7 linked regions of the Cricetulus griseus genome follow. The protein of the gene in region 1 purifies or fractionates together with the protein of each later gene. This does not show direct contact. Links are inferred from orthologs where the notes say so. Each region holds a gene or a part of one and is shown in the gene's direction. Other genes may lie near its edges. The genes, in order: Fus, Sf3b1, Hnrnph1, Hnrnpc, Safb, Ilf2 and Syncrip.

Region 1 (3,438 bases):
GAAGATGGAGGTCTGTTTCAATAGGTTCTACATTGGCAAATTGAAACAACTTTGTTAGTTTTGAACTTGGTATACCAGTACTTTGTAACTATAGAACCATATTCTAAAACAACATAACTATAGCATGCTACTATTTGGGTACTGAAAGTTAAGTGAAGTTTTGCTGCCATGCTGGAGATTGGGCCTGTGCCATCATGGTTGCTTAAGAAAGTACTGTAACCACTGAGTGCACTCAGCATGTAGGGATGCTTTAGAACAATGAGCTGTGTGTAGGTTATATAAATTGATGATTTCTTTTGTTTTGTTTAGACAAATAAGAAAACTGGACAGCCTATGATTAACTTGTATACAGACAGGGAAACTGGCAAGCTGAAGGGTGAGGCAACAGTCTCATTTGATGACCCACCTTCTGCTAAAGCAGCTATTGACTGGTTTGATGGTATGTAGAAGATGATGGAGGTGGATGGTGGGGCTTTGAAACAGGGTCTGTTTGAGTAGTTTGGATCTGATGGCACCTCGTCTTTAATATTGTATATGGAGAGACCTGTGGCATTCAGAGAGCAATTTGGAGTGATCTGTTTGGTTCTTGTAACATATGGGTCATGAGGGTGGAACTTGGGTGATCAGAGCTTGGCAACAATCAGCTTTACCTGCTGAGCCGTCTTACAGGCACTTTGTAATTTCCCTGTAGTCTCCTTTGTTCCCATTAGTTTATAAATCTTTTTAAGAAGCAGTTTACTCTTAAGATTTTAAAAAAATTTTTCCCATATTTATTTTGTGTGCATTGGTATTTTGCCTGCATATATGTCTGTGAGGGTGTGGGATCCCTTGGAACTGTAGTTAAAGGTAGTGGTGTGTTGCCATGTGGATGCTGGGGATTAAATTCAGAGAGTAGCTAGTGCTCTTAACCACTGAGCCATCTCTCCGGCCCATTTCTCTTAGGTTTTAAAAAGTGTTTCAGATCTTTAGGTCTTTCAATTCTCTCACCATTTACTATATATCTGTGTAGGCATGTTCATGCCGTGGTATAGGCATTGAGGTCCGTGCACAAACCATGTGAAGTTAATTCTCTCTCCACAGTGTGTGCTCATGAGATTGAATTTAGGCAAAGCATTCACCCACCAAGCCATCTTGCCCTGGGGATCTAAAGCAGGCCCTTCTATAATTCATCCACCTTTATTTCTTTAGGTAAAGAATTCTCTGGGAATCCTATTAAGGTTTCATTTGCTACCCGCCGAGCCGATTTTAATAGGGGTGGTGGAAATGGTCGTGGAGGCCGAGGTCGAGGAGGTGAGCCATTTACTTCATTTACTTTTTCTGTTTTGAAGAGGTGATGGAACACAATGTGGAAGGTGAGGAAAAGAAATTTGGAAAAGGTAGGCTAACCAAACTAAGAAATCATAATTCTGTTTGTATAGGACCCATGGGCCGTGGAGGCTACGGAGGAGGTGGCAGTGGTGGCGGTGGCCGGGGAGGATTCCCCAGTGGAGGTGGTGGAGGTGGTGGACAGCAACGAGCTGGGGACTGGAAGTGTCCTAATCCGTGAGTGAATTTGACTTTTTCCTCCAAAGTTCTTAAGATTATTATCTTGATACTAGGTTAAGAGTTAGGAAGATTTTTTTTTTTTTAAATGAGATTTTGTAGATGGAAGATTGAGTTAATAGTTTATTTAGGGAAGGTTAAGAGTCTTCAAAGTAAATACCTAGAACTTTGGAGAGTATAGATAAAATGCCATGACCAGGGCAATTTATAAAGGAAGTGTTTAATTTGAGGCTCACAGTTGAGAGGGTCAAAGTGGATACTCATCGTGGCGGTGATGGGTGACTCCTGTGCAGACATATTGGAGTGAGGGTAAGAGTTCAAACATTAATTACTAAAATGTGTTTTGAACTGAACTGTGGCAAACATTTTAACCATGGAAAAGGAGGCCATAGTGGGAAAAGGGTTTAGTAATACTTTTAGTCTAGGTTTAATAATACTTTTGTTTTGCCTTGGAGTCTTGTGAATTCATGTTCTGGACTGCACTCTTCCAAATTAATTCCCTTTCATTTCTTTAGTACATGTGAGAATATGAACTTCTCTTGGAGAAATGAATGCAACCAGTGTAAGGCCCCTAAGCCAGATGGCCCAGGAGGGGGACCAGGAGGTTCTCATATGGGTAAGAAGGGAGCAGAGCTGGTTATAGAAGTCCAAGAAGACTTTGTTTTTGATTTGGAAAGGTAGTGGGAAGGAAGGTAGAAGCATGAGGCTGATATGTCATTTCTTCTGTCCTAGGGGGTAACTATGGAGATGATCGCCGTGGCAGAGGAGGCTATGATCGGGGCGGCTACCGGGGCCGAGGCGGGGACCGAGGGGGCTTCAGAGGGGGCCGGGGTGGTGGGGACAGAGGCGGTTTTGGCCCTGGCAAGATGGACTCAAGGTGAGTAAGTCTATATCAAAACAAAAAACAGCAATTGGTTGGAGTTGGGAGGAAATAAGATTTTGCTGAGTGATTTCCTAGGAAAGGACAGCTCTCAGCTGGTTTACATTATTGGGAAGGGGGAGTAGAAGAATTAGGAACCCAGTCTTAAGGTTATTTTGCTTAAGAAACGTCATTTGGGTAGCAGGGACAAGTAGGATATTTGAAGGTTGTATGCTTGGATGGTCTGGTAATTCATATCTAACAATTCTTTCAGGGGTGAGCACAGACAGGATCGCAGGGAGAGGCCATATTAGCCCAGCTTCTGAAGTTCTGAAGAACAGCTCTTCTTCCTGTACCCAGTGTTACCCTTGTTATTTTGTAAACTTTCAATTCAGGATTGCCCATGGATTTTTTTTGTGTGTGTGTCAGACTACCGTAATTGTAACCGTATCTCTGGTTCCCATTAAAAACCATCATTTTAGTTAAATTCTGTTGCTGACCCCAGTTTACTTTCTGGAGGATTGGTCTGTGTTAGGAATGTGGGGAACTAATCCCTAGTCCCCTCAGATCATCTTGCATAGCAGGAATTTGAATCATTTGTTTTTGCCTAGCATCATCTTGATTCGGTCTTGAAAAGATAAAAGAATGCTTAAGTGGTTTCTAGGAAAGCGGTAAATGATGGGTACTTAGTTTTCAGAAAAAGGACGGTGCATACAGTGGGTCACTTTAACATCTTCCTAAATCTTAACATCTGTGGGTCATTGGTATTTTGATATTTGATTCTTTGAACTTAGTCATATTTCAGCTAGGATTATAGGACTCTGGTAATTGTATAGCCCTGGCTTATCTAAAACTGCCTCCTGGTTACTAGGATTAAAGGCATGTGCTATTTCTGGTTACAATATCTAGTTGGTTTTTTTTTGTTTTTCAAGACAGGGTTTCTCTGTAGCTTTGGAGCCTGCCCTAAAACTCGCTCTCTTTTTTTTTTTTTTCTTTTGGTTTTTTAAGACAGGGTTTCTCTGTGGCTTTGGAGGCTG
Region 2 (4,001 bases), on another chromosome or scaffold:
CCAGCTTGGTTTACAAAGTGAGTTCTGGGAAAGCCAGGACTACAGAGAGAAACCCTGTCTAGAAAAAATAAATAAATAAAACAAGCAAACAAAACCATATATATTTCTATGTTACGTGTTTAAGTGTTTTGCCTGCATTTTTGTATGTTTACCACATTCTTGCAGTGCCTACAGAGGCCAGATAAGGACATCAATACCTTGGAACTAGAGTTAACAGTTGTGAGAGACTATGGTGCTAGAATCGAATCTGGTTTTCTGGAAGAGCAACCAGCCTTTAACCTTTGTGTCATCTCTCTGACCTCTTCTAGACAGCTTCTAATGGTGTTTCTTGTATTTTCCACTGTCTGGAATCTGGAAGCTTTTTTTTTTTTCCCTCCTGGAGACCTGTCTCTCAGTGTAGCCCAGGCTGTCCTGGAACATGTTCTGGCCTCGAATTTAAGAGATCTCTGTTGATTTAAAGGTGTGCAACAGTTGCCAGCCTCCACACACAGCTAATTTAATGTTTGTGTCCATGCCCCAGGCCAAGTTTCATAGCAATCTGACTTCTCAATATTCAACCTTCCAGAGTCAAGTGGGAACTGGCCTTCTTTTTGTTGCTTTTTGGGGGGGGGAGGAGGGAAGCCCAGACTGTTTTCACACTGGTTAGGTAGCAGAGGCTGATTTGAACTCTGGATCTTCCTGTATAACCTCCGGCCCCAGCATTTGTTAATTGACTCAGTAGAATCTATTTTCTTTTTCTTTCTTTTTTGAGTTTTTCTATACAGGGTTTCTCTGTGTAGTTCTGGCTTTTCAGGAACTGGCTTTGTAGACCAGGCTGGCCTCGAACTCACAGAGATCCTTGCCTCCTGAGTACTGGGATTAAAGGCGTGCGCCACCAACACCCGGCTCCTTTTCTTTCTTTTTTGAGTTTTTCTATACAGGGTTTCTCTGTGTAGCTCTGGCTTTTCCGGAACTGGCTTTGTAGACCAGGCTGGCCTCGAACTCACAGAGATCCCTGCCTCCCCAGTCCTGGGATTAAAGGCGCGCGCGGGCGTTTCCCTTCTATTGTGTTCTCTTAAGAATTTAGTCCTTCGGCGCGGAATCAACCGCAGGCTTTTTAAGGAAGCCGCCCGGAGGCGGCCCTGGCCCCTCCCACTCCCATCATGCACCAAGCGGTTCCATCTAGGTGGCAGTTGAGTTGCGTGCCATAGTGCGGAGCGCGTTCCCGTGTGCGCACGCCTAGAGCGCAGCTCCTCTGTTTGTGCGTGGCGGCGGCGGCGGCGAGCGGAAGTCCTTGGGAGCGCCAGTTCCGCCTGTGTGTTCGAGTGGACAAAATGGCGAAGATCGCCAAGACTCACGAAGGTAAGCGGCCTCGGCCTTTCCCTCGCGCGTCCTGGGCTGCCAGCCTGCCGCGGCCCGCTCTCCTGGCTTTCGGCGACTTGGCGCGGCCTTTCTGGTCTCGGCCGAGTCCGCGCGGCGGAGCCTGGCTCGGCTCCTCGGCGCAGGCCGCTGCCCGCGTAATGGCGTCCTCTCGCACTCCGGGACCGGCGCTTTGTTCCGCGCTGGCTGCCGGCGTTTCCCAGTTACCTTGTCCTGACCCGAGGGCCTCCCTCGAGCGCCGGGCCCTGGACGTCCCCCGGGGGGGGGGAGCGGGGAGGCGGACGTGGGAGGGAAGTCGCTGTCGCCCCCACGGGCGCCGTGGTTGGCAGTTTGCAGCTGGGAAGCCCCGAGTGGCGGCAGCCGCTTTCCGGCTGCTCCACACGGAGTCGGCTCCGACGCAGGCCCGTTGCTCCGACCTCGGCGGTGCAGGCGTCTCCAGGCGGCCAGGCTGTGTTGTGGTGGTGCTCGGCACCCAATGATTCGGGCGGAAGATGCGGTGGCTCACTCCTTGAGCCACTTCTCGTGTAGTGTTTTTTTCTTTGAGGGACTGATTGCTAGAGAGAACACCAGACGGAAGAGAGGCGGAAAGGCAGATTTTATCCGTTGCCTAGCTGTGCTTTCAGGGTGGTAGATCATTTTACGGTGTATAGCGGGAACACAGCTCGAAACCCTGGAAGTAGACCGGATTCCATAAGAAAGTAACAAGAAGGCAGGAAGGAATTGAAGTGTCTGAAGTTGAAGCCCCGTGTCTTGGTTCCTGGCTTACAAACCAGAATTTACGCTGACAACATGGCTTCTAAGAGCCACTAAACACATCCTTTCTTGGTGTGTGGTCCGGGGTTAGAGATAAGAAACCAAGGATATAGGAAATTTGACGGTTTGCTAGGGAAACAGATATGTGAATCTTAATTCTCTTAGAAAAAACAAAGGAACGTGTACAGAGAGGTAAAGCCAGTACTTTCTGAGAGGCTGGTAACGGAGCCATTAATTTATGCTTTAGTTATTTTTGAGAGGTGGTGACGCGGTGCTGATCTAAATGGATCAGTTTTAAATTAGGGGAGGACGTCTGAGCCCGGAGGGAACATCTTGTAACAAGTCAGTGAGTCGTGAAAGATGTGAATGAGTCGTTGCCGTGGTAGGAAGAGAAGGTGTAAGGAGGGAACTCGGAGATGAATCTAGAGAGTGAATAGCACCAAGAGGTTAGATATAGTTGGGACTTTTTGAGGAAATGAAAGTACCAACACTTTTTAAAGCCAGAAATGTTCCGGCCTTAGTCTTTAAACCTGAAAGTACATGTGGTTTTGTTTTCTTTCTATATTGAGATGTAGTCTCACTATATGTTGCCGTGAAACTTACTATGTGACAAGACTGGCCTCCACTCCAAAGAGATGCATCCACTTCCCTCTGCTTCCCAAGAGCTGGGTTAAAAGGCGCCCTGTGCTTCTATGCCCACCTAATCCAACACGGCCCCCCCCCCCCCAGACAGGGTTTCTATGTGGCTTTGGAGGCTGTCCTGGAACTACTGTTGTAGACCAGGCTGGTCGAACTCACAGAGATCCGCCTGCCTCTGCCTCCCGAGTGCTGGGATTAAAGGCGTCCACCACCAACTCCTGGCTCCAACACTTTTTAAAGCCAGAAATGTTTTGGTCTTACTCTTTTGTCCTTAGACTTTCTCAGACGTTGTTTGCAAAATAACTAGAAAATTTAAGAATGTTTCCGTTTTTGTTCTTTCAGAGGTAGGTTATTTATTTTTTTCATTCTGGGAACTAATGGAGCATGGAGTGAGGGGGAGCGGTGTAACTGACAGGAACGTGGCTGACCCCAAAGCAGCCAGCCCCACTAGAAAGTTTTCACACTCCATGATGGCTTCCCCATAGGTGCATAGATGGGAGTTCCATCCCCTAATGTTATTTATTTATGGGCATTTTGTAGCTTTGATTGTTGGCTTAATGTTTTTTATGTAGCAAACCTCTGTTTAGATAAATGTAAAGTTTTTGTTTTACTTTTTCATTATAGAAGCCCAGCTAAGCTTGTTGAGCTTGTTGGTTGATTGTAGCCCATTAGCAAAAATTGTTGTTTTGAGATTGTTTTATCACTGAATTAAGTGCTGCAATAAAAAATCTGTACAAGTGCTATTTGAAAACAGGGACCTCTATGTCACCCATAGGTACAAGTCAGAAGGTGGTAAGTGCCCTCCCCCCATCCTGATTGCTCTGTGTAGACCTTGCTGTCTTGTAGACCAGGCTGACCTTGAACTCAGAGATCTACCCACTTCTGCCTCCCAAGTGCTGGGATTAAAAGATGTACACCACACTTCCTGTCAGGGTGATAACTTTTTAGTAGAACTGTATACAGCATTTGCATAGCCTCTTGCTCCTTTATGACATTTTTCTTGAATATAGTTTTTGTTTGTTTTGTTTTTTTTTTGACACAAGGTTTCCCTGTGAAGCACTGGCTGTCTTGGAACTGTAGTCCAGGCTGGCCTTGAACTCAGATTTGCCTGCCCCTGTCTCCAGGTGTTGGGATTAAATGCAAGTCCCACAAACTCCCTTCAAGAATAAAGGTTTTACATTTTTCTTTAAGCCTTTTTTTTTGGAGACAGGGTTTCTCTGAGTAACAGCCCCAGCTGTCCTGGAACTGGA
Region 3 (4,310 bases), on another chromosome or scaffold:
AATCGCTGCCTGCCACAACTCCTCCCAACCCCCTCTAACTAACCCCCCTCCGTTTAGGTGAATATCTGGAAGTCCTAAATTGAGGTGATTCTCTTATCTCAGCATCTCAAGTAGCTGGGAATATGGGCACACCCCTGTGCAAAGTGAGAAAGACGACTAAAACATAAACAGGTATGTGTGTCTCAAGATGTAGTTCAGGAGTAGAGCAGGTTTGCACAGTCTTGGGTTCTGTCTCTAGCATGCATCGCTCCCTCCCATCTAATCATAAACCAATAATAAGACCAGGGCTCTCAAATGCTGTAATTAACTAGAGTCCTTTTTTTGGCAATCGATTTCATGATGTAGGGGAGAATATATATGCTAGGCTAGCATTCTTCCACTATGTACATGCTAGGAAGCACGCTACCATTAAGATTTCTCCCGCATTCTTTTTAAGACAGTTCCTCACTAAATTTCTGAGGCTGCCTTGAACGCACTCTGTTGCCCAAGCAGGTCTCGAAGTTGCATTCCGCTTGGGCTGGACTTGTGTTCTTGCTTTTCATCAGCCTTCTTGATGGAAAGACTCACCTTTCGAGGATCTCAGAGAGTGTTTTCCATCTTCTCTAGATCCTTTACAGATGAGGTCATGCACCGTTATTCTCCCTGCCTGTTTGATCTGAGTTTCCCTTGCACCTGAAGTTTCTCGTTACACAGCTCCTGTTGCTCTCTAGCTGAAGGCTATGATGCCCTCCTGTATACTTAACACCCTTGTGCAGGCCTAACGAGTCGAGTTATGGCCGAGTCTGCGCACTTTTCCTTTGAGTCCTCCATTTTTCTTTGTTTTTTCGAGACAGGATTTATCCGTGTAGCCCTGGCTGTCCTGGAACTCGCTCTGTAGACCAGGCTGGCCTTGAACTCATAGAGATCTGTCTGCTTCTGCCTACTTTTGCTGGCATTAAAGGTATGCACCACCACCGCCGGGCTCTCCATTTTTATCAAACTATCCAAAACACATTCGGTCTCCTTAATATTGCACTTGGGAGGAAAATGTATTTTGCTTGTAACCTCTTGTGATGGCACTCAGTGGTTTACCACTCTGTGGCGCCGCCCAACACTGTTTCATTGTTAATTTCTACAAGGGCTGGCTGGGGTGCGTCAGATAGTCAAATCCAGAGATTCCGGGCATCATCCGTTCTCTGCAGTTCTGCTCTGAATGCAGTAACTTTACGCATTTATCGTTGTCTGTGCACACGGGGTGACCCGGGGGCATTCTCGACCTCGGTGACTTCACCTGGGAAAGACGGTGGTGTGCCGCAGAGCTCCGGGGCTGAGTCCTGGACTCAGCCTTCGCTCGCGAGGCGCAGCATACAGAGCACTTCTCGTGCGAGGGGTTCGCAGAGTGCGAGTTCGTTGGGCAAAGTGGGGTACAGGACTCTGGCTCGGGCACTTGCAGCCCGTTTGGGCCCGGGGCTGAGCCCCCCAAAACGGCAGGTAAGGGGACAGGCACCGGGTGCCCCGCGGTGACAACGGCTTTGCGCGCAGGGGTGGGGCGGCACCTAGAAGATGCTCGGCTCTTCAGCTCCCATCGGTTTGGGGGAAGAAAGGCTAGGACTTCCTTTTCCTCGTGCTGGCTTTCAAAACTGACAGGAGCCGGGGTGCAAAGCTGCGGATTAAGGGTAGAACAACAGACTCTGCAAACCGCGAACTCCGGGTTACTATCCAGTCCCTACAGGGAGCTGATTGTCGCCATTCCCCTCCCCCACTCTGGCGGGTATGTCTAGAGAACGGTTTGAAGGAAGACGCATGCGCATGAAGCAAAACGATAAACCGCTGAGACGCCAAGCGCAATAGTTGCAAAAAGGCGCAGGCGCGGAAAAAAAAAAGCCACGGCCAGTTTATGAAGAAGGTTGAGCCCAAACGCATGCGTGTAATAATCTGACGGCGGGAAGAGGGCCCGGTTTTTGACACTACGCATGCGTCTAATCTCTGTGTGACGCAAGTGGGCGGGGCAGACGACAGGGTGCGCGTGCGCAGAGCTTGTCCGAAGGGCTTTATTTAGGCTGCGCAGGCGCCCGCTAATCACTTCTCCTCAGCCACGCCGAGGCTTTGTGTGGAGGTGAGTGGTCGTCTGACTTCGTTTGCTGCTAGAGCCCTTCGCGGACCCCTATTTTTGTGACGATTGCTTATCCCCGAACCTAGGTTATAACCAGAGGGGCCGTGGCAAGCTCAGGCTACCACAGGGAGCCGCGGGTGTCCCGCCGGCGTGGCAGCGCCGCCTAGGCCTGCAGGCCGCGCCGCTTCTATTGTGTGAGGTGTCTGAGGAGGCGGAGCGGAAGCGGCGGCCGCCATTTCCTTGCCTCCACCAGGGCTCTAGGCCGGGATCTCCTTAGCTTAGGGCCTCAACACTGAGCGCACAGAGTGGCTTCGGGCATCGGGTTGCTAGCTGAGGTCGGGTTGCATGCTTGAGTTTCCAGGGTTCAGGCATCTGCACAGGCGGAGCTCCTGTCGCGGCGCCCGCAGGGCGCCTTGAAGTGGGAGGGCCATTTAAATGACTATTTCTCAGATTGTTGCTAACACACACCCCCACCCACCCCCACCCCCGCGCCCTGCAGTCTGTTTCGACGCCAGGACCCACGAAGAGACGATGATGCTGGGCGCAGAAGGTGGAGAGGGCTTCGTGGTGAAGGTCCGGGGCTTGCCCTGGTCCTGCTCCGCGGATGAAGTGCAGCGGTTTTTTTCTGGTGAGTTGAAGCGGGAGTTGTCAGTGGAGCCCGCGGCTGGGCTGGGGCGGGGCGGGGCGGACCTCACGGGCTCCCCCTAGCGGGGCGCGGCCACTAGTTCTGCTGGCTGCTCGCGCCCTGCTGCCTGCTGTTACGCAAGGATAATTGCAAAATCCAACCCCCCCCCCCCCCCGTCTCCCCTGGGGATGCTGGCGCCCCGGCGGAATTTTTCATCTTTTCTGTCTCTAAGCACCAATCCATCCATCCATTCCGAATTTGTTTTTTCGGAAGATTTAAATAAAGATGTAATTTCTCCCTCACATTTGAGAAAAAAAATTGACAAGCAGTAGTTGGATAAATAATAGTAATTAACTCGCTCTAGAAGTCCTACTGCAGGTGTTTGCATATATTCACTTGTAAAGGGGCTTTCTGCTTCAGAAAGTTCATTTTTCATAATTGTGCTCTAGATCTAATTACTTAATATACTGGCTCCCATAACTGAGGACGCTGAAGTTTTAGCGGCACTGTAGAGTTCTCTTTACATTTGTAGGCTTCTTGAATAATTGCTACCAGAATCTTGTTCCCAGTGTTGTAAGAAGACTGGTTGGGAGTTTTATTTTGAAAAGGTTTTGTAAAAAGGTACTTGTAGTGTTGACCTTACTATCTGAATTTAGCTGTGGTAACAGAAAACAACCTGTAAAACAAGAACCAAGTATATTGGAAGCAATTGCAGGGGCAGTTGCCGACGGGGGTTGACTTGAGCTGTGCAACTTGGAGCCTTTAGTTGTTAACATTGATCCCCTCTTGGGTGAGTATTGGGCCGGAGTTTGAATGAGAAATTATCCTGTGGCTGCTGGTAGAGTAATGCTGACGAGGTACCCAAACCAGAAAATACTGTGAAGTCACCAGGTCCAGATGAGATTATTCTGAAATATTGCACAAAAAGGTGGTTAGTGGAAACTTGAAGGCAAGGCGCTAGTTTAATTAGAAGTTGCTTTGAGTATTGAGTTACCTTGATGAATTAGGAATATATCTGAGGTAATTTGATGGTTCAAATGCGTGGTTGGTTTAGTATTTACAGAGTGAAATTTTTTTTTTTTTTGTGGTGACATGAATATGACTTTCTGTATCACCCAGGGGTGGTTTTAGGTTTTAAATTCTGTATTAACAGTTGTTTTCTTTTCAGACTGCAAAATTCAAAATGGGGCCCAAGGTATTCGTTTCATCTACACCAGAGAAGGCAGACCGAGTGGCGAGGCTTTTGTTGAACTTGAATCAGAAGATGAAGTCAAATTGGCCTTGAAAAAAGACAGAGAAACTATGGGACACAGATATGTTGAAGGTTTGATTTACATTGCCCTAGTAACAGTAATTGTTTAAACACATAGAGGTCTTACCCCTTCTGAATTTTAGGTATTTGACCGCATGGAAAAATGGTCATCTAAGGGAGTTTATGGCAGCTCTTCTAGTTATCTAAAAACCCAGGAAATCTGAACTTTGTTTTCTAACTTAATTGACTAATTCTAAGCACCTCTTTCAGTATTCAAGTCAAACAACGTTGAAATGGATTGGGTGTTGAAGCATACTGGTCCAAATAGTCCTGACACGGCC
Region 4 (4,357 bases), on another chromosome or scaffold:
ACAAAACAAAAAAACCCACCAAAACAAAACAAAACAAAACTAAAAACAAAACTCACTTAAGTAGATACACATACTGTAGGGAAAAGGGCCAGCCAAAACACACTTTTGGCCCTGCAACCAGAACCAAAGAAATGCACCCTGACCCTGAAACCAGCGCCAAAGAAACACACTTCCCCTAGTAAAGCAGAGTTGTTACACTATGCTCTGGTGGACTGAAGCTGAGTTTCCGCTGGAGAAGCCCCTCCGGTCTAGAGCAGGGCTGTAAATTGCTATGATTACTGTGACCTGTCATATTCCTTGGCTCCAGATTGCCAGAACGCCAGAATCCCTACCTGTCGGATCCCTCGTAATGCTTACACACACACATAGAATAAATAAAACGTTTAATTTTTTCTTTTATTATTATTATTATTATTTTGTTTTGTTTTTGAGACAGGGTTTTTCTACCTAGCTCCGATGATCTGAAACTCCCTCTGAAGTCCAGGTGGGTGTCAAACTCAGAGATCCACATGCCTCTGCCTCCTGAGTGGTGGGATTAAAGGCGTGCACCGTCATCACTACCTGGCCAAAAAAAAAAAAAAAAAAAAAGCCCCAAATCAACACTCCCAAAAATCAACATCCCCCTTCCCCAAATTTAAATCAGACTTTCCTAGATCTAGTGTATCTCCTTGGGGTAATATCTCCCTTTCTAAGGGGGCTGTATACATTTTGGTGTGCTCAAGGTTCCTCCAGAATAACCAGAAATTCACTGGCAGGCCAGGCCTGAGGGGATTGAGTGGCCGTCAGACTATTGCAGGAAATCGGAAATTGAGGTGGCCGGCCATTCGGTTTGCAGATTTTGCAACCGACTTGGAGGGGTCCAGGTAACAGGAGAGGACTAGGTTTGGAAGGAGCTGTCTAGCCTCGTGGGCTGAGAGGCCACCTCCTCCCGGCAGCTCACACAATGTGGAAATGAGAAGGATCTGAAATTGAAAAAAACTGCAGGTCTGTCTTATCTACACTCCAGGCGGTCTAGGGATTACTCTCTTCCCCACGCTCAGGCTTACTTTGGTTTTCCTTTTCCTAGGCCCGGGGCGAGGGCAGGCCCTTTGCACCCGCTACCAGACTCCACCCAGACTTTACCACCCCCGCGCCGCGGAAATGCAGTGATCAGGGCGGATCTAGGCAGTCCACTAAGCGCCGATAGGCCGACGCGGCGTCAGTCAGGCCCGCCGGTACCCGGATGAGAAGCTGTGCGCGATACAAAGGCGAACATTCCACCCAGTTTTCCGTCTGGTACAGTGGCCAATGACCATCCTTCATACCCTAAGTGACAGGAAGCTCCACCAATTACTAACGAGCTTCGGTGACGCAGGTGGAAATTCTCGCAACTAGACCAACCTACTCCCGATCGCGATTGGCTAGCACTGTGAGGAGCGGTAGCGCCATCTAATGAGGAGCGGGAGCGAGAAAAGGCTCAGCCAATAGGAACGCCCCCAGGAGCGGGGCGGGGCTGGACCTTCGCCTCGGCGGCAGAGGAGCTCGGGGGCCATTTTGTGGAGCGCCGGAGAGCGAACGGTCGTGTGCTGCCTGCCTGCAGTCGCTTCGGAGTCTCCGCACGGAGCCGCAGTAGGAGAGGCAGTGTCTTCTCTCTCTCTCTCCGAACTCTTGGTAAGCGGAGGGGCCGAGTGCAGGGGAGGCGCGGGTTCGTGGGCGCTGCGAGCGGGTGTGGGAGCGAACGGCCTGGCGGCAGGAACGGCGCCCGCGTTGGTTCCCGTGGCCCGGGGACCGGGTCTAAGTCGGGCGGCGCCAGGCCTCGGCTCTGGCGCAGGTTCAGCCTGGTGACCTCCAGGCCGCGGGCGGCGCGGAGGATACCCTGCCGGCGCGCTCGTGTCTAACGGCCACTTTGCCTGCCTTCGACCGCCAGGACTCGGAGAGGGGAGCGTGAAAAGGAAGAAATGCAAGCTTGTTACCCTAATTGAGGTTTAATGTCTTAACGATTCCGTTATTAAGTCTTCTAAGTTCAACGTCGGGCGGGGGTGGCGGAGCGTTACGCTGATGATGTACTGGAAGCTTCCAAATTCCGGGCGGGCCACATGGCATCCGAGCGGCGTGTTAACAATAGATCGAGTATTCATTACTTTTTCTCCCGTAGGAATAAATGGTAGAAGGCGGAGTGTTTTCTGTAAAAGGGAAGTGTCACGGGTTAATTAAAATTGCAATAAAATTGCAACTTACCTTTTAATCTGCAGATTACGAATTACTTGAAATATATGTTAGTGGGACTTTGCTTGAGGTAGGTACTGCTGTCTTGAGAGAGAAACGATAGGTAAATTGGTTGACAGTATTTACTAAATTAGAGCGACTAAGATATTTTTAGGTAGGTAAAGAATACTGGAATACTGTGTACGAAAAAGACAATCGAGTTTTTAGGGGAAGCTGATAGCGAAATTAAAGGTAACCGGAGCAAAACCAAAATAGTCTTTTCCGGATATTCCAATATCCTATCAGTTCTAAACTTGGTAATAAGGAGTTTCCAGCCAGGTGTGGTATTGCATGCCTGTAATTCTTGCATTCCAGAGGCCATGAGACAGGAGGAGGATCAGTATCCATTGCAAGCCAGCCCAGAACTACACAGTAAAATCTTGGTTTTTTTTTTTGTTTGTTTGTTTTTGGCTGTTTGTTTTTAAAACAGAGGAGAGCTCCAAAGCAGTTTTTAAAAAAGCAACCCTCTGGGCCGGGCGTTGGTGGCGCACGCCTTCAATCCCAGCACTCGGGAGGCAGAGGCAGGCGGATCTCTGAGTTCTAGGATAGGCTCCAAAGCTACACAGAGAAACCCTGTCTCGAACCCCCCCCCCAAACTATTAACTCCCAGCCATTTGTTACAGCTGTTGCTAATGTAGCCCAGTGGTAGTGCTTAGGATGCAAGGTGCCCTTAATTTAATCCCCAGCACTAATAGTGTAGGGTGTCAGTTTATCTGGGAGTTAATTTTTTGTTTTAATTTTTATTTTTTGGGGACCTATTTTCTCCCTTTAGCTTTTGAGCCTGTCCTGGAATTCCCTCTTTAGACCAGGCTGGTCTGGTAGAGCCGCCTGCCTCTGTATCCTCCTGATCCTGGGATCAAAGGCCTGCCCCGCCTCCGAGCCATTTGTTTGTTTTTTCAAGGTAGGGTTTCTTTGTATGACTTCTGGCTGTCCTGGAACTTGCTTTGTAGACCAAATCTGCCTGCCTCTGCCTCTTCAAGTGCTAGGATTAAATGTGACCATCACTGCCTGCCAAGCCTCATCATTTTAAGGTGTGCCTTAGAAGTAGAATTTAAGAGTAAGATTTTGCTCTGGTGAAGTGAGAAATGGGTAAGAGAAATAGCTAGGAAGGCATCCATCAAAAATAGTGTTGTAAATAAGTGTCGGAAATTAGTATGCAAGAAGACTACTGGCAGTAGTTGAGATTGGTTAAAAACACCTGCCATTAAATGTTAGACATACAGGCCAGGTATGGTGGGGCACAACTTCAGTCCAGCGGAACTCGCTGATAGCTTATGATTTTGAGGCCAGTCTGGTCTACAAAGAATTCTCAGGCCTGGTGAGACCTTGTTTCCTCTATTTTTAGTCCTTCAAAAGTGTTAGAAATGTGGATTTCTGAATGGGAGGCAGAGGCAGGTGGATCTCTGGTGTACAAAGCTACATAGAGAAACCTAAGTGTTTGTTCGTCTCATTATTTGCTAAAGCTTCATACACTCAACTCATCGGAAGATTTATGGTTTTGAAACTAGATTTACTGGAGAATTGGCTGATTAAAAAACAACGTTCAGGTGTAGTAAAACCACAGGTGTTTCAGTAAAGATTTTGAAAAACTACAGTGGGTATAGGCTCCTGGTTAAGTCTTTACAGTTCTCAAAAGACAAAAGCTGATTTTCTGTTTAAAGTATTCTAATTTGAACAGATTGCTGTGCTCTTTACTACCAGTTTCTAATTGAGTCATAATTGTTACCTAGATTTTGTTTTTTTTGGGGGGGGGTTCCTTGTGTAGCCCAGGCTGTCTTGGAACTAGCTCTGTACACCAGGCTAGCCTCAATTTCAGATCCACCTGTCTCTTTCAAGTGCTGGGATTAAAGGCAAAAGGCATGTGCTACCACTGCCAGGCTTAGATTTTGTATTTTAGTAAGTGCCAGGTGATTTTTGAACTCTTGGTTGGCTTGATCATTTAAAGTGTCGTTTAAGGAGTTTATCTAAATCTTAGTGGGAACTTTTTTTTTTTTTTTGGTAGTATAGCCTAAAATACATTTTAAAACTTTTTCTCAGCCGGCGAGAAGTGGCCCACACCTTTAATCCCAGAACTTGGGAGGCAGTGGGAGTTTGAGACAAGCCTGGTCTACAA
Region 5 (4,011 bases), on another chromosome or scaffold:
CCACAAGAGTCCACTGAGATGGCAGCAGGGGAGGGAGCTGCAGACACGCAAGGTCGTGAAGACCTGCCCAAGCGCACCGCGCTCCTCACTCACCCAGCCCGGGCTTCGTGCAAACTCTGGGGCCAAAGGACCGCCAGACACAGAGACGGGCAGAGGCTGGCCAAGGTCACACAGCCTCGGCTCCCTCGCTCCTTCCCTCGGTGCCTGACACTTCACACCGAGATGAAGGCTCGGGCTGGGATGCCCCACGTCTGAGGGAGCAGTGACGCCCGGGTCCCCGGCGCCAGCACGGACTGCCGCTCACCTTCTTCAGCCGCTCCATCAACACACTCTTGTTGCCGCCCGTATCCAGGTTCCGCTTCTTCAGCTCCGCCCTCAGGTCGATCACCCGCAGGTCGCTGAGTCGCCGCATTCCCGTTTCCGAGGCGACCGGACCAGAGCCGGGGTCGCCCGACCCGGTGACAGGTTCCGCCATCCTCGCCGGCGCGACTTCCCGCCCCGCTCGGCAGCCTCATCCACACGCACAGCCCACCGCCGGAGGGCTCGGAGCACAAAATGGCGCCGCCTAAGAGGAAAGCGCACCGCTTCCTCCCGCCTCCCTTTGCGGCTGCGCAGGCGCACCGCTCCGACGCGCCGCCTCGGCCCCACGTCCCGGTTTTCGCCAGCCTCGCGTCGCCGATGCGCATGCACCACCCGTCTCAAGCGCCGCCTCACGTCTTTTCGCTGAATGCGCGTGCGCACCGGTCTGACGTACCGCTCCGGTCGTACGTCGGAGCTTTGCGAGCCTCGCTCGTACGAATGCGCATGAGCAGCCGGTCGTCAGCGCCGCCTGTCCGCGGTTCACACCCCCTTTCCGCTTGCGCATGCGCGCCGCTACTGTCCCAATCTGGAGTTCTCGCTCGGCTTCGTGGCTGCGCATGCTTGCCGCGGTTCCGATACCGGCCGGCCCCACTCCCACGCTCCACGCCAACGCGCAGGCGCAGCAACTGCAGCGCGCAGGCGCAGCAACTGCAGCGCGCATGCGTCGCGGCTGGCGGCAGAGGGAGACCCGGCGATTCGCGCCTGCGCCTTGCCCGCCGCCGCGCTCACGGCGCTTGTGCAGAGGCGTCTGAGCGTGTCCGTCTCGCGCCGGGCACGCCTGCGCAGTGACGAGGTGCGCCTCAGGGGAGGCTGGAGCGGTTCCCTCTCAGGCGGCGCCATTTTGTGGTAAGAGAGCCGAGATTCAAAAACATAATAATAATAAATCCAAAAAATACACGCACGCAAACCCACCGACCCGGTTCTGTGTGAAGCGGGCGACGGAACCAGGGTCCCTGGAATGGCGGAGACTCTGTCGGGTTTAGGAGACGCGGGTGCGGCGGGCGCGGCGGCCGTGAGCTCCGCGGCGTCAGAGACCGAGACGCGGCGGCTCAGCGACCTGCGGGTGATCGACCTGCGGGCGGAGCTGAAGAAGCGGAACCTCGACTCGAGCGGCAACAAGAGCGTGCTGATGGAGCGGCTGAAGAAGGTGAGGTTCGCCGAGGGCCCTGCGGTCGCCATGGCGACGCCCACCGCCGGGTCCGGGGCGGCCCGCGGCCTCCGCGCCGCGCACTTCCGCTCCGGCCCCGCGGCCGCCGGGGAGGAGTTCGAATCCCAACGCCGCGGCGATGCCACCAGCAGGCAAGAACACCACGGGCGCGGACCCGGGTGTCGGTGACGTCGCGTTGCCTGCGCTGCTTAGTCCCAACCCCACAGGGGGATGGAGGGTACTCGGCCAAGGTCACCCAGCAGGGTCAGCCTGTGGCAGGGTTCGAACCTAAGTCCCTTTTCGGCTCTCGAGGCCGAACCTGTGGGTGGGTGGTTTGGTTTCTTGGAAGATACACAGTGACCCGTGGGGATACGAAACTTCAGGGACCCTCAGAGTTAATAAACCGGAGGATAGCCCAGGGGATGGAAGTTTTTAACTTTTTTTGCCAGGATTAAACTAGGGGAGGTACGTGCTTGAAGGAAAGAATGTTTTGTTAGTGATAAGGCATGTCAGACGTGAGTTCAAGGCCTGTCCAGGCTACAGAGGGAGTTCAAAACCGACCTGAGCAGCAGAGTTCAGGGCTAGCCAGAGGTTGTCCAAGGCCAGCCTGGACTGGGGGTAGGGAGAGAGGCAAACCCGGGCAACTTAGCAAGACTGTTTACAAATAAAAAGTAGGGACCAAGGGCTACTCGGTAGAGTGCTTGTCTTGGATATACCAAGTCCTGAGTTCTGCTCCAAGTGCCTCCTGAGGCTGGGAGTGGTGGTGTGTACCTGGCAGGAGGATCAGAAGTTTGGGGCCCTGTTGTGATGAATGAGACCCTGTCTCAAAAACATCGTTTTGTATCGTCTCTCTAAAAAGAGGCCTGGGCACATAGCTCAGTGGTAGCATGCTTGCCCCTAATAGCAAAGACCCTCAGAGCCACCCACTCCATAGCACATACAATCGGATGTAGTCAGGTTGGAGTCAGAGGACAGATGACTATGGGATGTGTCCCAGAGGCAGGTGGAGGGGCATCTCTACTGCCCACTTTGGCAGTCTTGGTCTTCTGAGTCTGTTCCTTTAGGGAAGGGCAGGGTCTTGTGGACATGGGCTTGACATGCAGCCTGGTGCAGTACAACAAATTCAGTCTCCTTGGGCCACCTTTTGTCGTTTGTAGATTGGGACTCTGAGCCCCACCTTGGAGATAGTGTGTGTGTGTGTGTGTGTGTGTGTGTGTGTGTGTGTGTGTGTGTGTGTCACACTTTAGGAAGCTGTCCCTCTAGTTTTTGGACATGGCATCCTGCCCGTGCACCCCTACACACAGAAGCCAGAGATTCATTTTACCCTCCTGGATCTGAGACTGTTTAGAGAAGCTGACAGGGAAAGGAGGAGGAAGCAGCAATGTGACGCCTGTGTTATGTCCCCAGCATCCACAGAAAAGGACAGGTGGGGTGCCAGTCGCAAGCTAGTGCTCAGAGACAGGAGGACCTTTGGGGCTCCCTGGCTGTTCTAGCCAAGTCCGTAAGACAAAGTAGATGGTGCCGTGAGGACAGCTGAGTTGGCCCCCTGGCCGCTGACCCACAAACATACATAGTGCATATGGGCATGTAACATAGATGCATGCGTGAGGAGACCAGGGTGAGCTCTCCAGCCACTGAGCCCCAGCTTCCTTTCCTTTTCTGTGGGCATTGCATCTTCACTGGTATCATAGGCAAGACGCTCCCTCACTGCTATCATCTGCAGGACATGCAGGGTGCGGGAGCCGGTAGTCAGGGTGATGTGCTTGTCTCCACTCACACCCTGTTGTTTGTCAGATCTGAGGGCAGGTCTGCGATCCTGTCCTTCTGCCTCTGTCACCCAGCTGGTAGCAGTCTCCTGTTGTTTTTAACAGGGGCAGAGGAGCAGCTGGTAGAAGGATTTGCTGAGGTGGCCTGGGAGGGACAGCCCTGTCTTACCACCCCAAGGGATGAAATGAGACACCTTCCTGCAACTTGTCCCTCACCCTGGGGATGTTTGAAAACCAACTGTCCCCAGAGAGAGGGCAGGGGCTGCTGGTAGCACTTGTCTTTGGTCCCAGGGTTGTGCCCCTGCTGGCTTACCTCTGTGCCCTTCTGCACCACAGGAGGCCTCCTCGAAAGAGCTCTGGGAAAAGTTGTGTGAGCTTGGGGCCTAATGGAGGTCTGAGGACAGCAACTTTCAGACATCCCCAGGATGAGGGGCATGCTGCAGGAAAGTGTCTCATTTCATTCCCTGGGGGCAGTGTTGACATGGCTGTGCAGGGAGGGAGAGGCCTCAGGGTCCCGAGTGGTTATAGTTGACACAGTTAATACTGATAGGCATGACATACTTGGTGCCCTGGCTGTGCTGGGCCCCTGATGAGCAAGTGACATCCTTGGGTGCGAAATGGGACTTCTAGAGTCTTTCCACTACAACTCCCAGGACAGGATAGCAAGGTCTGAGGCCATGACACAGCCAGTAGATGAGTGTGCCTTGAGGGCAGTCATGGTCTGGAAGAAACCATTAG
Region 6 (3,993 bases), on another chromosome or scaffold:
TAAGCCATTTCTGAGATAGCTTTCCAGCCCTAATGAACAAAAAGAAGTCTAAATCCATGATAGCAGAAATCCAGAATGGTTACCTTTCTGAGGTCACAAACTTTTGTTTTTTTGAGACAGTATCTCACTATCTGGCATAGACCGGTTATGTAGACCAGGCTGACCTTGAACTCACAGAGATCCTCTTGCGGCTGCCTTCCAGGTGCTGGAATTAAAAGCGTGTTCCACCATGCTCCGCCAAAATATTTGTTTTGAAAAAATTTTCTGTTAAATTTATTTATGTTGTGTTTATGGGTGTCACCACAGCCACAGCACACATAGTGAGGTCAGAAGACAATATGTAGAAGTCGCTGCTCTCCTTCGCGTGGGTCTCAGCAGCTTACACCTGCTGAGCCACCTTGCGGACCCGATAAAATATTGTTTATTTTAATCTTGGTGGGGTTAGGTTACTTGGAAGAAATACACGCCTACAAAAGTACACAACACATCAGTACTTGTCAGAATCACACAACACAGGGAAGTGGGGAGGACGGGGTGGAATTCGGGGAGGGGAAAGACATGATCAAAATATATTGCATGAAAAGTATTTTCAATAAAAAGAACTGTATAACAGTAATAACATCGAGGGAATAATTGTGGTAAATAAGACTCAATTATCCCTGATATTTTCGTAGGGTAAAATTATGTTTTCAGGTGAGGTGGCACACCACTGACATGCAGGCACTTGCAAGGCTTGAGGACGTAGAGATTGCTGTGAGAGTGAGGTCAGCTCGCGTTCCATTAACGAGAACTTTGTAAGCCGGGGTGACCAAGCGAGATGCTGTCTGGAAAAAGCAAAACCAAAAACAGCTGGAGAAGAAAAGACAAGTTTGTTTTATCAAAGCGAAGGCAGGAGGCCGTAGGAAAAAAACAAAGTCTCCGATAGCAGAGGATGGTTTCGATCCATCGACCTCTGGGTTATGGGCCCAGCACGCTTCCGCTGCGCCACTCTGCTATCCACTGCTCAAACCCCTTACTGGGCCCATAGAAGACCTTTACTAGGTCACAGTCCGGATTCTGAGCGCCCCCTAACGTTAGTGTAGAAAATTGCCTTCATCCCCGCTATTGTCTTCCTATTGGTTGGCTCCTTATAGGGCATTTTTTTCATTGGTTGCTGAATTGACCAATAATCACAAGGGACGGAACGAGGCGGGAGCCTATCGCGCCGGCGTTTGTTGGGACGCCCTGGCAGACGCTTCTCTGCGGACCTGATTCTTCTAGGGAAAGGGCGGTTTAGTGTCCTCCATTGTTCAGGATTAAGCGAGCCATGAGGTAAGTGGACAGAGGTTCCTGAAGGCTCCTCCAGAAACCTCGGGAGGGCGGCCTGAAACGGAGGCGGAGGACCAAGGGCCTGATTGTGGGCGCCTGGCGGCGAACAGGCCGGCGAGAGTGGAGTTGGAGGAGGCGGGTGGGGGCGGGGAATCGGGCCTGGAGGGGGCTGGGCCCAGCCTGGGAGCTGGTTTAGCACCTAGGGCTCGGGATGGTGTGGAGAGCCCTCACGGACCAAAAAGAGCATCCTCGGTCTGCAGGGAGAAGGCTGGAGCGCTGCGCATTTTCTAGCGCCTAGTGTTTGACCAGTAGGACGTGCCTGGTAACTGTTAACGCTGTGCTGAAAAGAGAAGGCACTTTACTCTGTTAGGATTGGCGAGTCTCACGGTCGTGGGTCGCTTGGTAGGGGTATGTGTGTCAGTCAGGGTCTTCACCTCATATTTTCCTGATGTGAGCTTTGATAGAATCCAGAATTAGAAGTCGGGTGTAGTGTCGCGCGCCGCAATCACAGCACTTGGGAGGTAAGGCAACAGGAGTACATAGGACCCTGTCTCAAAAACAAAAGGGGAAAAAAAAATCCAGAATTAAGACGTCGTGGGGGTGGCGTTGGGCACCATTTGGAATTAGGGAAAAGTGACTTCAGTAGTTAGAAGCGGTTGAGGTAAGTCAAATTGAATTAATGTGGCTGGTATGATGGAGACGTTTTTCAGCTAGGTGAAAGTAAAATGTATGTATTTTTTAGGGGTGACAGAGGACGTGGTCGTGGTGGGCGCTTTGGTTCCAGAGGAGGCCCTGGAGGAGGGTGAGTGTGGCTGTTTGCATCTTTGCCCCGGTTTGTTCCAGTCATCTAAATAAAGGTTTGGAGTGGACTGCTGAACTTGATTTTTGTGAAGGTCATGTGAAGCATTTCTTTTCCTGATATTCTGCTAAGTAACTTTAGCCTTTTGCTAAGAATGATATGGCTCAAAAACTCTGGAATTCGCCGGGCATTGGTGGCGCACGCCTTTAATCTCAGCACTCCGGAGGCAGAGGCAGGCGGATCTCTGTGAGTTCGAGACCAGCCTGGTCTCCAGAGTGAGTGCCAGGATAGGCTCCAAAGCTACACAGAGAAACCCTGTCTCTGAAAACAACAACAACAAAAAACAAAACAAAAAAACCCCAACTCTTAAAAGACAAAGTTGGTGAATTGTGTACTCACTTGCTTTCTGTTTAAATAATTTTGGATTGTTTTTGTGTTTCAGGTTCAGGCCATTTGTGCCCCACATCCCTTTTGATTTCTATTTGGTGAGTACTTGGCTTTGTGGAGGACTTTTCTGCCCACTGTGCAAAAAAGGGAGCACAGAATCTCCTTGTTAATGAAGTCAAGTATTGTTTGGAGTAGATTTGTGAATGAATATGGTATTGTTCATATTATGGTACAGAAATATGGTTCATAATATGATACAGAGAAAGAGAGTCTTTCTCTGTATGCCTGGCTGGCCTGGAACTCAGTGTAGACCAAGCTGACTGCAAATTCACCATCCTCCTGCCTCAATCTCCTGAGTGCTGGGACTATAGGCATGCACTGTCACATGTGGCTTAAGTTTTTATTTATTTAGTTTGAGTGCTAGGGATTTGAACCTAGGTCCTTAGCATGCTAAACCTACAACTCCAACTCCTAGTTTTATTTTATTATTGCTATATTTATTCATTACATATCACTATATAGGTATATAATATGGCTGTATCAGTAGACACAGGTTTGGTTCCCAGCACTAATATCATAGTGTACATCTGTCTGTAATTCTAGTTCCAGAGGATCTTATGTTTCTGTTGACTTCCACAGGCTCCCAAACACAGGTGCACATACATACTCTGAAGTGTTCACACATATACAATAAATAAATAAATATTCAAAAACAAAGCAATTGGTCAGCCAGTTTTCAAAGTGGCTGTAATACTTTTGTAATCCCAGGAATGGATGCCTATGACAGGAGGACCATGTTCAAGGTTTAAGATCAGCCTGGGATACAATAGTAAACTGTCTCAACAAAAACAAAACCGAGAAAACAGTGTAAACTTGGTAGGGAAGATAATTTCTTTAGTTTGATATTTAATATTTCTTCTATTATATTTGGTTATAATATAAAATAATTTTAGGATTTAATTTTTTTGTTGTTTGTTTTTTTTTTTTTTCGAGACAGGATTTCTCTGTGTAGCTTTGGAGGCTGTCCTGGAACTAGCTCTTGTAGACCAGGCTGGTCTTGAACTCACAGAGATCCTCCTACCTCTGCCTCCCAAGTGTTGGGACTAAAGGTGTATTTAATTATCTTTGAGACAGTGCCTGTATATATAATTTTGTCTGGTTTGGAACTAATAGGGATCTGCCTGCTTCTGGTTCCTGAGTTGCTAAGGGTGTGCACTATCACACACACACACACACACACACACACACACACACACACACACACACACGGTGGATCATACCCCCCCCCCCCAGGATTGTTCTGTGTAGCCTTGGCTGTCCTAGAACTCACTATGTAGACCAGGCTGGCCTTGAAACTTACATAGATCTGCCTGTCTCTGCCTTGTCCTTCCCCACCATGCTGAGATTAAAGTTATGCACCAACATGGCCCAGCTACAGTGGATTCTTTTTATTTCATGTGTATGTATACCCCCTTGTATGCCTGGTCCACTTGGAGGCT
Region 7 (3,566 bases), on another chromosome or scaffold:
GTATTTGAGGCCATTCTTTGCTCCATGAGACCTTGTCTTAAAAAGACAATAAGACAAAACTAAACATGGAAATACATCTGCAATTTGAAATCAGTCTGTGAAATTATTGCACATCCCTTCCTTGCTTTGTATTTATTTCCCATCTCTTCCTTGTTTTGTGTTTATTTCCACACTTTAGCTGTTATTTGCCTGCATGTATGTCTGTGAAGTTGTAAGACTCCTGGAACTGGAGTTACAGGCAGTTGCGAGGTGCTTTGTGGGTGCTCTGAATTGAACACCTGGCCTTTGGAAGAACAGCCAGTGCTTTTAACCACTGAGCCATCTCTCCAGCCCCCTAGTGGTTTTTAATTCTTAGATATGAATGAAGCCTTTTCACCTGTGTTAAAGGAACAAGTGTTAAAAGCAGAGACATATTGTTAACATGGTACTTTTGTTTTTTTTAACATTAATCTACCTACAGTGTTGAGAAAATTATCTTTCTGTTAACAGTCTGTAGAAACATAGAAAAGTGTTCTGCATTAACAGTATTTACTATTTTCCTTTGAAGAATGCCATTGTTATTTGAGAACAGAAAAAGATGCCATTTAAACCAATTTCAGAGATGGTAAAATATGAATAAAAAAAAAGCAAAAGGGTGGTGGATGTAGCTCAACCTAGGTAAGATTTTTACTTAGGCTGAAGACCAGGGGTCTTCACGTGACCATTCCCTCCCAAATAGAATTTTAATGCAATGAATTAATTTAATCATGTTTGACAAAGAGATAGCATTTTTTTAGATGAGCAGACGAATTTTATTTGTCTTATACCTTAGTGGAATCAAAATGGTTCCCATGGCTAGTTAAGTAGTTTGCTTTTGTTGGGTTTTCTGGGCTAGAAAGCTAGGGTAGGGTTGGGTTGATTTGGAAAATTAATAATTTTTTTTTGTGGGGGAGAGTATGTCTCTTGCTTTTGTTTTTTGTTTTTATAGAGACAGGATTTCTTTGTACCAGCCCTGGCTGTCCTGAACACACTCTGTAGAGCAGGCTGGCTTTGAACTCACAGAGATCTGCCTGCCTCTCTGCTGGGATTAAAGGCATGTACCACCACCACCTGGCTTTTGCTTCTTTAAAAGATAATTGCTGTTAGTAAAAGTTTGTATTTTTCATGTTTTATTTAAAGAGTAGCTTATTAAACACAAATTAATTGCTAGTTAACCTACTTTTCTGGGATGTTTGTTTAATTTCAGAGGGTCTCACAGATGTCATTTTATATCACCAACCGGATGACAAGAAAAAAAATAGAGGCTTTTGCTTTCTTGAATATGAAGATCACAAAACAGCTGCACAGGCAAGGCGTAGGTTAATGAGTGGTAAAGTCAAAGTCTGGGGAAATGTTGGAACTGTTGAATGGGCTGATCCCATAGAAGATCCTGATCCTGAAGTTATGGCAAAGGTAATTACAGTAAAGTAAAACAATTTTTATTGGGTTAATAAGAGGAGCATAAGAAAAAACTTAGTAAATGAATTGTTTGCATTGTTTTAAATGTTTTTGAAGGTAAAAAGTTTACTAAGCAATTAGTTATACACTAAAAAATGTGAGTGCACGGAAGGTATTCTAGAGCACTTTCTTTTGAATATTTGAGGGTGATGTAATTAATTTTATTTTATTTTTTTATGAGTCATACCCTGTAACAAAACAAAGGAAAAAAATCAAATAAATGAATTATTATTATTTTTTTTTTTTTCAGCAAACAGTTGAGGGTTAACTCTTGAGGTAACTCTTGAGTGCAGTTTGGATATTCTGTCTTGTCTTTTAGGAATCCCTTTAATAGTTAAAAGGTCATGTTTGCTTAAATCTATAGAAGGCAGTTTTAACTATTGGGAGTGCTGACTACTATTGAACAATTATATTTTGAGAAATTTTCAGGAGGAGGGAGTTAGATGTTCCTGGAAATTGAACCCAGGATCTCATGTGTGATGTGTCAGCAAGCTTTTTTATTTTTTAATTTTATTATGTATACAGTGTTCTGTCTGCATGTATGCCTGCAGGTCAGAAGAGAGCACCATTATTGATGGTTGTGAGGCACCATGTGATTTCTGGGAATTGAACTCAGGATCTTTGGAAGAGCAGGCAGTGCTTTTAACTGTTGAGCCATCTGTCCAGCACAACTCCCAGGATGTTACTAGTATTTTAAAGCACTTTATCCAACATTTCAAAAGCAGTCTTAGGTTTCGATAATCACCATTATAGTATCCCAGAAATTATATTACTGTGCTTTGATTATCTCTATCCCTCAAATCTTGACAGCCCTTCTTCCCTTTTACCATTTCAGAATGTCACATGATTGGTATCATGCCTATATAGATTTCTGAGAGTCCGTGGCAACATTTTAAATGTCCTCTTTTTGTGAATTTTATGTCCTGGCTATCCTGGAAGTCCTTTAGATTCCCCTGCCCCTGCATCCCAGATTCCCCTGCCCCTGCCCCTGCCCCTGCCTCCTGAGTAGTTGGAATGCTGGGATTGAAGGCATGCAACACCACTCCCTGACTTATAGCTAAAAATTCTGCTTTGTTTGTACATTCATATATTGAAGGGATATCTTTTTACTGTTTGGGGGGAGTTATGAATAAAGCTGTTAGAAGCATCTGGATGCAAGTTTTTGTAGGAACATAAAACTTAACAACTCTTCAGTAAATATAAATAGGGAGTAATAACACAAGATTATAAGATAAGAATATGGTTAGTTTTATAAGGAACCGCCTTAAACACAGGGGCTGCATCAGTTTACACCCCAGTTTTTGTGAATGAAAGTTTATTTCTTCCTAATCCTCAGGTTTGAAGCTTTAAAGTGTTGTAATCCCAACATGTTTCTAGGTTGTTTTTGTTTGTTTTCAATACAGAGTTTCTCTGTGTAATAATAGCTCTGGCTGTCCTGGAACTAAGAGATCCTCCTCCCTCTGTCTCCTGTGTTCTGGGGTTTAAGTAAGGTGTGTAGTGTACTTCAGCTTTAGCTTGCTTATCTGTTAATAATTGAACACATTTTTCGTGGTAGAACTTGGTTTGGTAATACCTTTATTATTGTTTCGGTTTTTACTTTTATCAGCAATTTCACTCTTTGGCATTTACCCACAGGAAATTAAAACTATATATACTTACTGGTTGTGTTTCAAGTTAACTTTGTAGGATGGGGTGGTTGCTTTTGGAAATTGAATTCTGGAAAATTTGCTTTTTTATTTCAGGTAAAAGTGCTGTTTGTACGCAACCTTGCCAATACTGTAACAGAAGAAATTTTAGAAAAGTCATTTAGTCAGTTTGGGAAACTGGAACGAGTGAAGAAACTAAAAGATTATGCTTTCATTCATTTTGATGAGCGAGATGGTGCAGTCAAGGTAAAAAAGTGGTAGAAATTTCATAGGCATCTAAAGAGACCAATATTTTATAGTCTTAAAATCCCATGCTTAATAAATTTGATGCAAAGTTCAAGTTATGAAATTTAGTCAAGCAAACCATTTAAGTAAAAATAGCATCGAGGAAGATCTTTAATTATATTGCAACCATGTTTTATCTAATTTTGACAGAGGTTTCTA

Evidence for each region.
Region 2: the proteins of Fus (region 1) and Sf3b1 purify together in Homo sapiens (affinity purification with mass spectrometry; 3 studies listed by BioGRID and IntAct, with this or other methods). This does not show direct contact. The link is inferred for Cricetulus griseus from reciprocal best matches to the Homo sapiens genes FUS and SF3B1.
Region 3: the proteins of Fus (region 1) and Hnrnph1 purify together in Homo sapiens (affinity purification with mass spectrometry; 4 studies listed by BioGRID and IntAct, with this or other methods). This does not show direct contact. The link is inferred for Cricetulus griseus from reciprocal best matches to the Homo sapiens genes FUS and HNRNPH1.
Region 4: the proteins of Fus (region 1) and Hnrnpc purify together in Homo sapiens (affinity purification with mass spectrometry; 3 studies listed by BioGRID and IntAct, with this or other methods). This does not show direct contact. The link is inferred for Cricetulus griseus from reciprocal best matches to the Homo sapiens genes FUS and HNRNPC.
Region 5: the proteins of Fus (region 1) and Safb purify together in Homo sapiens (affinity purification with mass spectrometry; 3 studies listed by BioGRID and IntAct, with this or other methods). This does not show direct contact. The link is inferred for Cricetulus griseus from reciprocal best matches to the Homo sapiens genes FUS and SAFB.
Region 6: the proteins of Fus (region 1) and Ilf2 purify together in Homo sapiens (affinity purification with mass spectrometry; 3 studies listed by BioGRID and IntAct, with this or other methods). This does not show direct contact. The link is inferred for Cricetulus griseus from reciprocal best matches to the Homo sapiens genes FUS and ILF2.
Region 7: the proteins of Fus (region 1) and Syncrip purify together in Homo sapiens (affinity purification with mass spectrometry; 3 studies listed by BioGRID and IntAct, with this or other methods). This does not show direct contact. The link is inferred for Cricetulus griseus from reciprocal best matches to the Homo sapiens genes FUS and SYNCRIP.

What each region holds. Positions count from the first base shown.
Region 1 is NC_048596.1:72,795,930-72,799,367, reverse strand, and holds the end of Fus (RNA-binding protein FUS), read left to right. Parts: intron 1-309; coding exon 310-439; intron 440-1,188; coding exon 1,189-1,290; intron 1,291-1,418; coding exon 1,419-1,542; intron 1,543-2,057; coding exon 2,058-2,158; intron 2,159-2,274; coding exon 2,275-2,419; intron 2,420-2,675; coding exon 2,676-2,715; 3' UTR 2,716-2,888; downstream 2,889-3,438. UniProt on the Homo sapiens protein: DNA/RNA-binding protein that plays a role in various cellular processes such as transcription regulation, RNA splicing, RNA transport, DNA repair and damage response. Binds to ssRNA containing the consensus sequence 5'-AGGUAA-3'.
Region 2 is NC_048595.1:409,474,972-409,478,972, reverse strand, and holds the start of Sf3b1 (splicing factor 3B subunit 1), read left to right. Parts: upstream 1-1,185; 5' UTR 1,186-1,313; coding exon 1,314-1,341; intron 1,342-4,001. UniProt on the Homo sapiens protein: Component of the 17S U2 SnRNP complex of the spliceosome, a large ribonucleoprotein complex that removes introns from transcribed pre-mRNAs.
Region 3 is NC_048600.1:64,833,187-64,837,496, forward strand, and holds the start of Hnrnph1 (heterogeneous nuclear ribonucleoprotein H), read left to right. Parts: upstream 1-1,446; 5' UTR 1,447-1,470; intron 1,471-1,957; exon of another isoform or gene 1,958-2,095; intron 2,096-2,591; 5' UTR 2,592-2,623; coding exon 2,624-2,720; intron 2,721-3,885; coding exon 3,886-4,041; intron 4,042-4,239; coding exon 4,240-4,310. UniProt on the Homo sapiens protein: This protein is a component of the heterogeneous nuclear ribonucleoprotein (hnRNP) complexes which provide the substrate for the processing events that pre-mRNAs undergo before becoming functional, translatable mRNAs in the cytoplasm.
Region 4 is NW_023276807.1:207,170,340-207,174,696, reverse strand, and holds the start of Hnrnpc (heterogeneous nuclear ribonucleoproteins C1/C2), read left to right. Parts: upstream 1-1,494; 5' UTR 1,495-1,650; intron 1,651-4,357. UniProt on the Homo sapiens protein: Binds pre-mRNA and nucleates the assembly of 40S hnRNP particles. Interacts with poly-U tracts in the 3'-UTR or 5'-UTR of mRNA and modulates the stability and the level of translation of bound mRNA molecules. Single HNRNPC tetramers bind 230-240 nucleotides.
Region 5 is NC_048598.1:96,961,500-96,965,510, reverse strand, and holds the start of Safb (scaffold attachment factor B1), read left to right. Parts: upstream 1-1,170; 5' UTR 1,171-1,318; coding exon 1,319-1,507; intron 1,508-4,011. Other genes in the region: Safb2 (scaffold attachment factor B2), read right to left, coding at 305-475. UniProt on the Homo sapiens protein: Binds to scaffold/matrix attachment region (S/MAR) DNA and forms a molecular assembly point to allow the formation of a 'transcriptosomal' complex (consisting of SR proteins and RNA polymerase II) coupling transcription and RNA processing.
Region 6 is NW_023276806.1:64,074,777-64,078,769, reverse strand, and holds the start of Ilf2 (interleukin enhancer-binding factor 2), read left to right. Parts: upstream 1-1,179; 5' UTR 1,180-1,306; coding exon 1,307-1,311; intron 1,312-2,050; coding exon 2,051-2,110; intron 2,111-2,549; coding exon 2,550-2,592; intron 2,593-3,993. UniProt on the Homo sapiens protein: Chromatin-interacting protein that forms a stable heterodimer with interleukin enhancer-binding factor 3/ILF3 and plays a role in several biological processes including transcription, innate immunity or cell growth.
Region 7 is NC_048597.1:198,378,403-198,381,968, reverse strand, and holds part of Syncrip (heterogeneous nuclear ribonucleoprotein Q), read left to right. Parts: intron 1-1,225; coding exon 1,226-1,431; intron 1,432-3,218; coding exon 3,219-3,368; intron 3,369-3,566. UniProt on the Homo sapiens protein: Heterogenous nuclear ribonucleoprotein (hnRNP) implicated in mRNA processing mechanisms. Component of the CRD-mediated complex that promotes MYC mRNA stability.